3 linked regions of the Mus musculus genome follow. The protein of the gene in region 1 purifies or fractionates together with the protein of each later gene. This does not show direct contact. Links are inferred from orthologs where the notes say so. Each region holds a gene or a part of one and is shown in the gene's direction. Other genes may lie near its edges. The genes, in order: Ncl, Nap1l4 and Larp7.

Region 1 (3,649 bases):
CTTACTGGCTATGCTAAAGTGTCTGCTTACTCATGAATGGCATTTTAAAACATCTAGAACCTGTTAAAGCAGCACCTGGAAAACGGAAGAAGGAGATGACCAAGCAGAAAGAAGCCCCTGAAGCCAAGAAACAGAAAGTAGAAGGTAAGCCTGCAAAACTGGGGAAACAGATCAGAGTAGCACTAGCACAAGTGATGAGTGACAAAGGGACTTAATACTGAACCATGGGGTTGAAATGAAATATGCTGATGTGCTTTATAGTTTATGATGAAATTTGTTGTGTGCTTAAGTGGGCTGAAAGTTCATTTTTTGTGTGTGCAGGCTCAGAACCAACTACACCTTTCAATCTGTTCATTGGAAACCTTAATCCAAACAAGTCTGTTAATGAATTAAAATTTGCCATCAGTGAACTTTTTGCTAAAAATGATCTTGCTGTTGTGGATGTCAGAACTGGTACAAATAGGTAAGTTTTAATTGAATGTTACATGTGTATCAGCTAGAATTTTTACTTTCCAGTTGTATTCTTCCCTGCCTTTAAACATGGGGCTATATCTAACTATGTTAGTAAAAGTCAGTTGTCTCCTCTCGTGGCCTTAAGTACAGTTAAGGAGCTGCAGTAAGAAAGACTATAGTATTGAACTAAATCATCGAGTCATAGGGCCTGCAATTTGAAGTTCCTGTGTTTGACTTGATAAAGATAAAATAAAATTTAAAGAAGAAAAGATATTAAACACATAAAATTTTGTGCAGTATCTACAACTATGGATCTGCATAGTCATATGCTTTTAGCTAAAAGTATTCTCTGTACTTTTAGCGGGGTCCATGCTAGCTACTGCTGTTAGTTACAATATACTGAATGAAGAAATCGAGGTGAATTTGTTGTAATGTCTTGGTACATGGACTTGTTTTGTTTTTTGTTTTTTTTTCTTTAAGATTTGTTTATGTATATGAGCACACTGTAGCTGTCCAGATGGTTTTGAGCCTTCATGTGGTTGTTGGGAATTGAATTTTTAGGATCTCAGCTCGCTCTGCTCTCAGTCCTTGCTTGCTCTGGCCCAAAGATTTATTTGTTGTTATACATAAGTACACTGTAGCTGACTTAAGATGCATCAGAAGAGGGCATTAGGTCTCATTATGGGTGGTGGTGAGCCACCATGTGGTTGCTGGGATTTGAACTCAGGACCTTCAGAAGAGCAGTCAATGTGCTTACCCGCTGAGCCATCTCTCCAGCCTTTGGACTTGGTTTTATGGAAGATAAGGGTGATCTAGTTTTATTTTTGTTAGTGCTGTAGATGCTCTGTGTGTGTGCCACATGGTATAAGTGCAGATCACCTTCTCATACCTGTAATCTTGTTTTTTCCATCTTCAAGGAAATTTGGTTATGTGGACTTTGAGTCTGCTGAAGACCTAGAAAAGGCCTTGGAGCTCACTGGTTTAAAAGTGTTTGGCAATGAAATTAAACTAGAAAAACCAAAAGGAAGAGATAGTAAGAAAGGTATGTAAGGGGGTCTGGGTGACTGGATACTAACAGACTTAGGCAGTCTGGTGCCTCTTCCTTAGTTTCATCCTCATTGTGAACCAATGAGATGTCATAGGTCATGTGCTTGTTGACAGGTTTGATTCCTGGGATATATAATGTCAGGGCTGACAGGAGGAATAGCTTAGTGAGTAAAGATGCTTGCTGCAAAATGTTTGATCTCTAGAAGCCACATGAAGAGAGAAGAACCTTTAATCCCAGCATTTGGGAGACAGAGGCAGGCAGATTTCAGAGTTCGAGGCCAGCCTGGTCTACAGAGTGAGTTCCAGGACATCCAGGGCTACACAGAGAAACCCTGTCTCGGAAAAAAAGTTTTAGCTTATCCTCTGACCACATGTGTATCGTGACATGCTTGAAGCTTACGTATCTCTTAAATGAATTCTTGATCCCTATATTTTGAGTTTCAGAATTTGGATTTTAAGTGTTTGTTTCTTAGTTGTGCTGAAAATTGAACGTGGGCTTTTCACATGCTAGGCAAATTTGTTGGGTTTTTTTGTTTGTTTTTTTCTCAAGACAGGGTTTTTCTGTGTAGCCCTGGCTGTCCTGGAGACCAAGCTAGCCTTGAACTCAGAAATCTGCCTGCCTCCCAAGTGCTGGGATTAAAGGCGTGAGTCACCACTGCCCTGCTAGGCAATCACTCTTAAAACTGCTACATATCCTCTGTCCCCTTTTGCTCATTTTACAAGGTTGCTGTGTGCTCAATCTGCAGTCTATGTTATATGCTTACTGGATCTAGGCTTTTGATGTAGAATGAACCATATGAGTGATGAGGTATCTTAGAGATGGAAACTAAGTCTAAATAGACTTGTTCCATATACAACTTAATACATATGGTCTAAGGAACATGATATACATGTAAACAAGTAGGAAGGAGATAAGTCTGGTGTCCAGGGAAGCCAGGAGAGCCTCATCTGAAACTGGACAGGGGTTTGTGAGTCATCAGGTGACAATTGAACATGGGTACTCTTCATGCAAATGGTTAGTAACCATTGAGCCACCTCTCCATCCCTTTATACCATTTTTTTTTTTTAGCATATATCCTTGTACTTTATAGGAATTATTTGCTTTATTCTCTTGTGACTTGTAAATTGATGTACTTAATTAAATCTTTTTCCAACATAGTTCGAGCTGCAAGAACACTTCTAGCCAAAAACCTCTCTTTCAACATCACTGAGGATGAATTAAAGGAAGTGTTTGAAGACGCCATGGAGATCAGATTAGTCAGCCAGGATGGGAAAAGTAAAGGGTATGTTTTGTGTCTTTGAGTGTTAAAGTTTTATTAAGTTTAGTGTCTTCTTCCCCTCTCCTTGTCCTTGACAGTCTCTAGTCTGCTGCTTCAAACTTAACTTCATAACCAGAAAATTGAATATCTGGTCCTCTGGCCTCTACCTCCCAAGTTCTGACATTAAAAATGCTCAACTGATGGGTTTTGAAGCTGTGATCAATTTTACAGGCTCAATCCAAATTGGCATCTTTTGCCACAAGTACTATCCTTCCCTATTTTATGAGAGAAATGTGATTCTAGGCAGTTCAGTCTATTGTGTTGGCTCTTTTTCCTCCTCACCAGTTTAAAGGATGAAGATGAGCTAATACATAGTAAAAGAACAGTAAAAGCACATGTGACTAAGTCCTTCATGACTGATGCTTGAGTAATATTTTCTCTAACGTAGTAACTGAATTGTCTTGTACTCTTTCAGGATTGCTTATATTGAATTTAAGTCTGAAGCTGATGCAGAGAAAAATTTGGAAGAAAAGCAGGGGGCAGAAATTGATGGACGATCTGTTTCACTCTACTATACTGGAGAGAAAGGTCAAAGGCAAGAGAGAACTGGAAAGACCAGCACTTGGAGTGGTAAGTTAAAGGGTTTATTGTGTAGTGGGAACAGGAATCATTTGTATCTTTGTATTTTAAGTAATTGGTTACCTACAATTAGTTCACCTTTGTTCATATAGCTGATGTTTAGTCTTCATGAGTGAAAGCTATTTGAAATCATTTCCTTTGGAGTATAGTAGGCAAATAAAGCTTTTTGTTGGGTATGTTTTCTACTTTAAATGGCTTAAACTATTTTAGAAAATAGTGTAAGACAACAAAGAACAGTTATCTAATTAGAA
Region 2 (3,749 bases), on another chromosome or scaffold:
TAGGGCTACACAGAGAAACCCTGTCGTGGAAAAGCAAAACCAGCCACTAACCAATCAAAATGTCAGGAAAAAAAAATGTATGTCAGAAAAAAATGTAAGTAAAAACATACGAGCTTATTTACTTTCCTTAATTTTGTAAGCGAAACTGTTTATACATAGTTCCAATTTAAGAATGAAAGAGAAGTAATACAGAAAAACAATGCTGTAGACCTTCTGGCCTTCAGTAACCACACTTCATTTTAAGTTTTTGTTTTTCAGACAGGGTTGCATGTTGCTCAGACTGGCCCCACACTGGCTACATAGTTGGAAGTGACAAACTGCTCATTCTGTCACCTGTATCTCTTATCTCAGAAGTACTGGGATTGAAGGCATGCATGTTGCACCATACCCAGCTTTGTTTCCAACTGCCCTGTTCGTAGAATTTGTTAGGAAAACACACATTATCTGCAAGCAAGTTATTTATTCTTATCAGATGTTGTCTATTGCTTCAATGAAAACACCATGACCAAAAAGCAAGTTAGGGAGGAAAGGGTTTATTTGGCTTACACGTCTATATTGCTGTTCATTACTGAAGGAAGTCAGGATAGGAACTCAAGCAGGGCTGGAACCTGGAGGCAGAAGCTGATGCACAGGCCATGGAGGGGTGCTGCTTACTGGCTTGTGCAGCTTGCTTTCTTACAGACACCACCAATAAGCCCAGGGGTGGTACTACCCACAATGGGCTGGGTCCTCTCCCACCAATCATTGAGAAAATGCCTTACAGTTGGATCCTATGGAGGCATTTTCTCAAAGCTCCCTCCTTTCAGATAACTCTAGTTTGTATCAAATTGACACACAAAACCAGCCAGTACAGATGTGCTGAACTTTTCTATCAGAAGGGTAGTCCCATGCCAGGCAGGCACTGTAGACAGAGGGTCAGAAGGCCTTGAGAAGTAGGCGGTGCTTTTCCCAGGCCGGGGGAAGGCAGGGAGTTGTAAGTAATCTGGAAAGAGCGTTGCCGATGTGGTCCAGGAAGCTCAAACCCTAGAGGTTGTAACAAGCCCAAAGTCCTACACGCGCGCCCAGCAGCCCCTTTAAAGAAGCACGAACTGCGCGTGCGCCGGAACACACGTCACTACTCTAACTACATATAGCTCGCGGGCTTAGGCTGGACGCCGTGCTCCCTCAACAGATTTTGATTGGATACCGCCTTTCCTAGTGCCTGGTGCAGTTGATAAACAGCTCTATTGTCCATTCGTCGCCCGTTTTGCTCGCAGAGGGTGGAGCCCGGCGATACGGCCAATGGCAGGTGGTTTTGTTGGCGACCACGGCGGTGCAGCCCCGGAGCGAGCTTAGGACAGGCGCCACTGCCGCAGGAGGCGCGAGGTGCGGTGCTGGCGGGTAACGGCGCGGCGGGCGGCTGGCGAGGGACTGGGGCGGAGGAGGCGGAGACGGGGAGGAGTGGGCGGCGCGGGCAGGCCGACGCGCCATGGCGGCGAGCAGAGGCGGGCGGCGACCGGGTCAGAGGTCCGGGTGGCGGGTGGCGGCGGATGGCGGGCCGGTCCCTCCTCCGTGCAGCCCCGCCCCCGGCTGAAGGTCAGCGCGCTTTGTTCCCGCCGCCCGAGAACCCACGCGAAGCGGCGCAGGCGGTTCCTTGAGAGGACAAGGCCTCCCCAGCGAGGTGGGCCTGGGTACGCCTCGTCTCAGACCGCGCCTGGGAAGGAAGGGGTCTACTGGGCCGCCGCCTCGCCCTTCCGGGCTTTGCATGCTCTCCGCACAGTGCCCCGGTCTCTGAGCCAGACCTCACTCTCTGAGCCTGCGGTGGAGGCGGAGCCAGCCTAGTGACACACACTGAGCCTTCAGACCCGGGCGCCCCTAACGGGTTCAGGGTCGTCAGCAGTACCCCTTCTTCCGAGGGTATCCTTGGGGCAAGTTGGCCCGCACTTCCTCCAACTCTGCTTCGCTGCCTCTTGGAGGAATTTCCGCGGTAGCTTCCGGCGCGTGCGCTGCGGTAACGAGCATATGCATATTCCACAGCAAAAAGACTCAAGTTTAAGTTTTTGGTCCAAAAGTTAAATGCTTTTAAGTTACTGCCGCCTTCCTGTCATAGTAGTTGCTTCCTCTCGGTGACTAATCTCCGCTTACTACACACCAGGGGCTCCTTTAAGCTCCTGACGTGTCTTAACTCATTCACAATAGTACGTGATGTAGGTGCAACAGGCTGACTGTGCATTAGCAAGAAACGCCTGGGTTTTGAAGTGGTTCGGTTTGTGGAATATTTGTAGGTCTGACAGATGAGCGTACCTAATCTGGAAATCCAAAATGTGCTCGAAAAGAAGTGGGTTTTGGGACGTTCTGATTTCTTTTCTTCTTCTTCTTTTTTTTTTTTTTTTTTTGGTATAGGAGTATTCGACCTGTATTGCAAATTAAGTCCCTGATAGGTTAAGTGTGATGGTACCTTGCATCTAAATTCAAATAGATTTAATCTGGCTCAGTTTTAATAATAAATGTTTATTATTAAATAAATAACGTATTGAAACAAATATTCAGATGAACAGTAAGATTCAGAGAAAGCAGGGCTTTGATAGGACTAGAGTATAGTTCACCTGTCGGGTAGTCTACAGCTGTATCATTTTAACTAAAGTAGATGCTGTAAAACTCAGTTGTCGGTCTCAACCCCCCCCCTTAGTTGACCAATATTGGTTCACAGTGTCATAACATTTAAACACATTTTGATGTTTTAGCTTTAAATCCCGAACTGTTTTTCACAGTTAATATAGAATAGCTGGTGAAAATAATAGTGATTTTATCGTTTTTTGAAAATTCTGGAATTGTATTACCAAAGTTCTGGGGGAAAATGTATGTATTTTGGGATCTTCTCAGAAATCATGGCTTGTGAGCTGGCCATTTGGCTTTGTGTAGTTGAGTATATAGAATATACCAGTGGGCAATAAATCTCCTGCAGGGGTGGTATTCTTAGAAATGAGGTAGTTCACCACTTTGGTCTGACTTTGTACTTGAGTCTTAAAATGCCCCAGCTAAGATAGATATGGCAGTATACACCTAGATTCCCAACTGCTCTGGAACTGTTTAAAATCTGTCTTGGAAAAACAGCAAGATCCTATCTCACTTTTTTTTTCCTGTTTGCCTCTTGTTAGTGAAAGTATACTGTCCCTGCTAGCTGTCTTTATGTTGTGTATAAAAGTTTATGTTGTATTTGTATAAAAATTTAACTGCCAGTACCTAAAATTTTGGTTTTTGGAAGAAAAAAAATCCTAGACAAGAGAGTTAATTTAGGGGTGGTTAAGATCATTGTGTGCTTTTGCAGAGGACCTAGGTTTGAGTCCCATACTCATAAGGTGGCTTCTAATAGTCTATAACTTAAGTCCCAGGGTTCCAACAGCCTCTTCTGGCCTCTGCAAGTAGTGCACAGACAAGCAGGGAAACCACCCATACACATAAATAAGTTAGAAATTTAAGAAAGGGTAGTTTAAATCTGAAGGTCTAAGGGCAACTCTCAGTGTGAAATAGGCACATCAGTGAGTTCTTTGCTGCTTGCATCCAGCCCCAGGTGACCTGTTTTGAAAAAGAGGCAGTAGTAATGAGCTGTTGGGGACTTCTAGCCCGTGAGTACAAGGTTTTTTTGTTTACTTAAAAGGAAATGTAAGTGGGTGTGTTGGCTTGTATCTGTATTCCAGCTCTTAAAAGGTAGAAGCAGGAAGCTCAAGGCCAGCCAGCGCTACTGCAAGAAAGATGAAGTGCATTTAGGC
Region 3 (3,749 bases), on another chromosome or scaffold:
TTCTTTTACCCAGTGCTAGGGGCTGACAAAAGGGACTATATGTAAACTAGGTAATAGTGCTTACATGCATCCAGTCCTTTATGTTTGTTTAAAATAGGATCTGACCATATTGCACAATCCCGTCCTAGCCTCTGGAAATAGCTGGGATATTACAAGCAATATGCCACCACACCCAGGAAGAAAAATCTCTTGGACAGTGCTGCAGCAGCCACTGTAACTACCATGTTAACTATAAGGTCAAATTTTGAAATCTTGAAATCGTCGATGGTGAACTGAATACAGATGCAAAAGCAGCACACATAAGCACACATATCTTCAAGTGGTTCCAGGGACATGACCTGACAATTAGTTAGCAATGAACATTTTAGGTCCTATTCTTTTAGGTCCTATTCTTGATCTATTACGTTAGGAAGTCCAGCTCTGGAGCCCAACAACAGTTTCTATCTGGCCCTCTGCAGTGATGAAAAACTGTCACAATAGCTCAGAACAGCACCGCTCAAACCAGGAAAGTTTCCAAACCACGAACGGCCTGCTAAACCACAAGGAACAGTACAGATCCCTAAAAGAAACATAGCTTCACTTGCCAAGCCTTGACACTTCAAGGTTTTGTATCACTAAATAATAATGGCCCCCTTGGTCCTATGTCAGCCCCTAAAACACCCACAACCGGGATGGGCCGCTATGGTGACCGCCTCACCCGGCACTCTAACGGCGCCTCGTGGGTCGCTTCCGTGGAGGCGAGTCAGTGTCCAGTGCTCTCCCAACCGCGCCAAGTCGCCCGGTCTGTCCACCCTTCTTGCCTAGAACACGGGAGAGAAAAGTCTCCACTTCACCGGCTCAATGACATAAACTCCACTTTCTAATTTCTCCCGCCAACTTAAGTGACGTCATCAAGCAGGGACGGTACCGCGGAGGCCCCGCCCGCCGCCGTTCGCAAACCACCAATGGAACTCCGCGTGCCAGCGCAGTCACCGCGTGGCTCCCGCCCCCGAGATGCTCCGCCTATGACGTCAGCAACGAACCCTGGGCCTCGGACCCGTCTTTCCGTAGCGGGCTGAGAGAAGCGCGTCGCTACTCGAATGACGCAAATTTCCGCCGACCGCAGGGGTCGGGAGAAGGAAAGCGTGGGAGAACACAAGCGCTGACCGTGGATCTGGGGACGAGCACGGAGTAAGTCACTACTGGCCTGCAGAGCCTCTCAGACCCGTAGAGGTGGGAACTCCTCTCAGTCGGGTCTCCTGAGGGCCACCCTCCATCCGCGGTCCGCCTCACCCCGCCCCCGTCGCCACTGTGCCGTTGGTTTGGCGCCGTGCGTTGTGCGCACGCGCAGTTCCCTGGCGGCCCCTGCTATTCGGAGCTCAGTACAGAGGGGGCGGGCCGAGCTTGGGGTTGGGGTGTTTGGGGCACGCCCGGCTGCGGGGGGGGGGGGGGGGGGGAGTCTGTGCGGAAGTAGGGTTGCTCAGAGGAACTGTGGGTGTTAGGCAGGTTGTCTTCCCAAAGGACATCAGTTGTGAGAACTTGCATTCTAAAGTTCAGTCTTTTCTTTTTGCTAGTCCCTCTATAGAAAAAGCCGTTGTAGAAGGGGCTAACAGTAATGAATTTAAGTTCTGAGTGCGTTTATGAGAAATTAAGGAGAAATATGAGTGGAGAGTTCATTGAGAATGGAAATCCTCAAGAAGTAAGACTGCCTTTTAGTAGTCTTTCGAAGCCGGGCGGTGGTGGGAAACCGAATGACTTCATAAAACATTCACACTAAAAGATTATTTGGAGCAAAGTTCCAGACCGCTAAAGGGTTTGCCGTGACTACAACTTTGGTTCTCAATCTTTTGGGTACTCTTCTTTTTGTTTAAAGCCTGGAAAATATTATTGTCGAGTTCCTTTGAAAATTTTACATGTACCTGTGGAAACATTTTGTATGTGATTTTACAAACAAAACCTTTGATTTAAAATTTAAAAAAAAAAAAATGGTCTTTTGCTTTACATCTAGCACAGCTTACTTCCAGATTATCTGTGACATTCACTGTCTTTGGGCAGTGTTGCAACTTTGTAACTTGTTGAAAACATAAAGATGAAAACCATGTTTGCCCAATCATTGCCCCTGACCAGTATATGTTAACATTCATTTTGACTTTATGCTGCATATTGATCTGGTCTTTTCTCCTTTAAACAGACTAGTTCCACTTAAATTTACCATATTCCTTTATATTTGTATAAGCATGATTTTACCTTTTGTTTAAAAGTTTGTCTTATAACATCTCATGGATTCCTAAGATGTCTTTAAACTCCCAGAAGTGTCAGGGAGGTCAGATGAAGAATTCCTGGGACAGCCCAGGCAGTGGTGACGCACACCTTTAATCCCAGCATTTGGGAGTTGGCAAAGGCAGGTGGATTTCTGAGTTCGAGACCAGCCCGATCTACAGAGTAAATTCCAGAACAGCCAGGCTATACAGAGAAACCCTGTCTTGAAACCACCACCCACCACCCCCCAAAAAAGAAATTCCTGGGTCAGAATATAGTGTGAATGCTGACAGAGTGTAGCTTCTACTAAACGGTAGACAGTGTAAGAGTCAAACACCTCGGTTTGCTTACCTACCTAGTTTTGACTGAATTACATAACCTTTCAGCCTCCCTTTGAAAAGGGGAAAGAAACGACCAAGTAGGATTGTCAAGATTTAAAACTATCTATCTATATAAATATCTGGCATTGCTTCACAGTAATTTCTTTGTTCCAAGACTGTGAGTTTTGTGGGTGGATGTTGTTTGTTTGTTTGTTTGTTTGATTGTTTGGAGGCAGGATTTTTTATGTAGCTCTGGCTGTCCAGAAATTCTGCAGAGCAGGCCAGCCTCAAACTCAGAGATCCACCTGCCTCTACCTCCCAAGTACTGGTATTAAAGTTGTGTATCACCACATTCATTTAGCAGTATATTTATGACACTACAAAAAAAAAGAAAAAAGAAAAACTTATCAGAATCACTAATGTTTCAAGTTTAGAAATAACCTTCACAGACTAGAAAGATAGCTCAGCCATGAAAAGCTAGGCTCACTCCCAAAAATATAAAATATAACCATCATAAACCATATGAGTATTATGGACAGGTGACACAAACTTCTGTAAAGGATAGGTGACTTCTAGTGCAATTATAAACTCATATTCTAATAGCAGATGGAGAAAACATTAAATGGGGGTAAGAGCCATTTCAAAGATGAAATTGATAGGATTTAGTGAAAGATTGGTAAAAATAACATGGCATCATGTTTTCCATGGCAGCTTTTCCCCCTTTGGGTTTTGGTTTTGTTTTGTTTTTTTTTGTTTGTTTGTTTGTTTTGTTTTTTGGGGTTTTTTTTTTGTTTTTTTGGGGGGGGGGGTAGGGGCAAGACAGGGTTTCTCTGTATAGCCCTGGCTATCCTGGAACTCAGTTTGTAGACCAGGCTGGCCTCGAACTCAGAAATCCACCTGCCTCTGCTTCCTGAGTGCTGGGATTAAAGGCATGCTCCACCACACCTGGCTGGTTTTTGTTTTTAAGATTTATTTTGTTTATGAGTACAGTGTAGCTGTCTTCAGACATACCAGAAGAGGGCATCAGATCCCATTACAGATGGTTGTGAGCCAGCATGCAGTTGCTGGGAATTGAACTCAGGACCTGTGGAAGAGCAGTCAGTGCTCTTAACTGATGAGCCATCTCTCCAGCCTGCGAGTCTTTTTTTAAACTTATGTAATATACATGTGTATGTATGAATGTATGTGTGT

What was found.
Region 2: the proteins of Ncl (region 1) and Nap1l4 fractionate together in Homo sapiens (co-fractionation; 3 studies listed by BioGRID). This does not show direct contact. The link is inferred for Mus musculus from reciprocal best matches to the Homo sapiens genes NCL and NAP1L4.
Region 3: the proteins of Ncl (region 1) and Larp7 purify together in Homo sapiens (affinity purification with mass spectrometry; 4 studies listed by BioGRID and IntAct, with this or other methods). This does not show direct contact. The link is inferred for Mus musculus from reciprocal best matches to the Homo sapiens genes NCL and LARP7.

The regions. Positions count from the first base shown.
Region 1 is NC_000067.6:86,352,866-86,356,514, reverse strand, and holds part of Ncl (nucleolin), read left to right. Parts: intron 1-57; coding exon 58-144; intron 145-187; exon of another isoform or gene 188-255; intron 256-321; coding exon 322-463; intron 464-1,370; coding exon 1,371-1,495; intron 1,496-2,659; coding exon 2,660-2,783; intron 2,784-3,234; coding exon 3,235-3,389; intron 3,390-3,649. UniProt on the Homo sapiens protein: Nucleolin is the major nucleolar protein of growing eukaryotic cells. It is found associated with intranucleolar chromatin and pre-ribosomal particles. It induces chromatin decondensation by binding to histone H1.
Region 2 is NC_000073.6:143,546,658-143,550,406, reverse strand, and holds the start of Nap1l4 (nucleosome assembly protein 1-like 4), read left to right. Parts: upstream 1-1,286; 5' UTR 1,287-1,365; exon of another isoform or gene 1,366-1,380; intron 1,381-1,460; exon of another isoform or gene 1,461-1,670; intron 1,671-3,749. UniProt on the Homo sapiens protein: Acts as a histone chaperone in nucleosome assembly.
Region 3 is NC_000069.6:127,550,604-127,554,352, reverse strand, and holds the start of Larp7 (la-related protein 7), read left to right. Parts: upstream 1-1,003; 5' UTR 1,004-1,170; intron 1,171-3,749. UniProt on the Homo sapiens protein: RNA-binding protein that specifically binds distinct small nuclear RNA (snRNAs) and regulates their processing and function.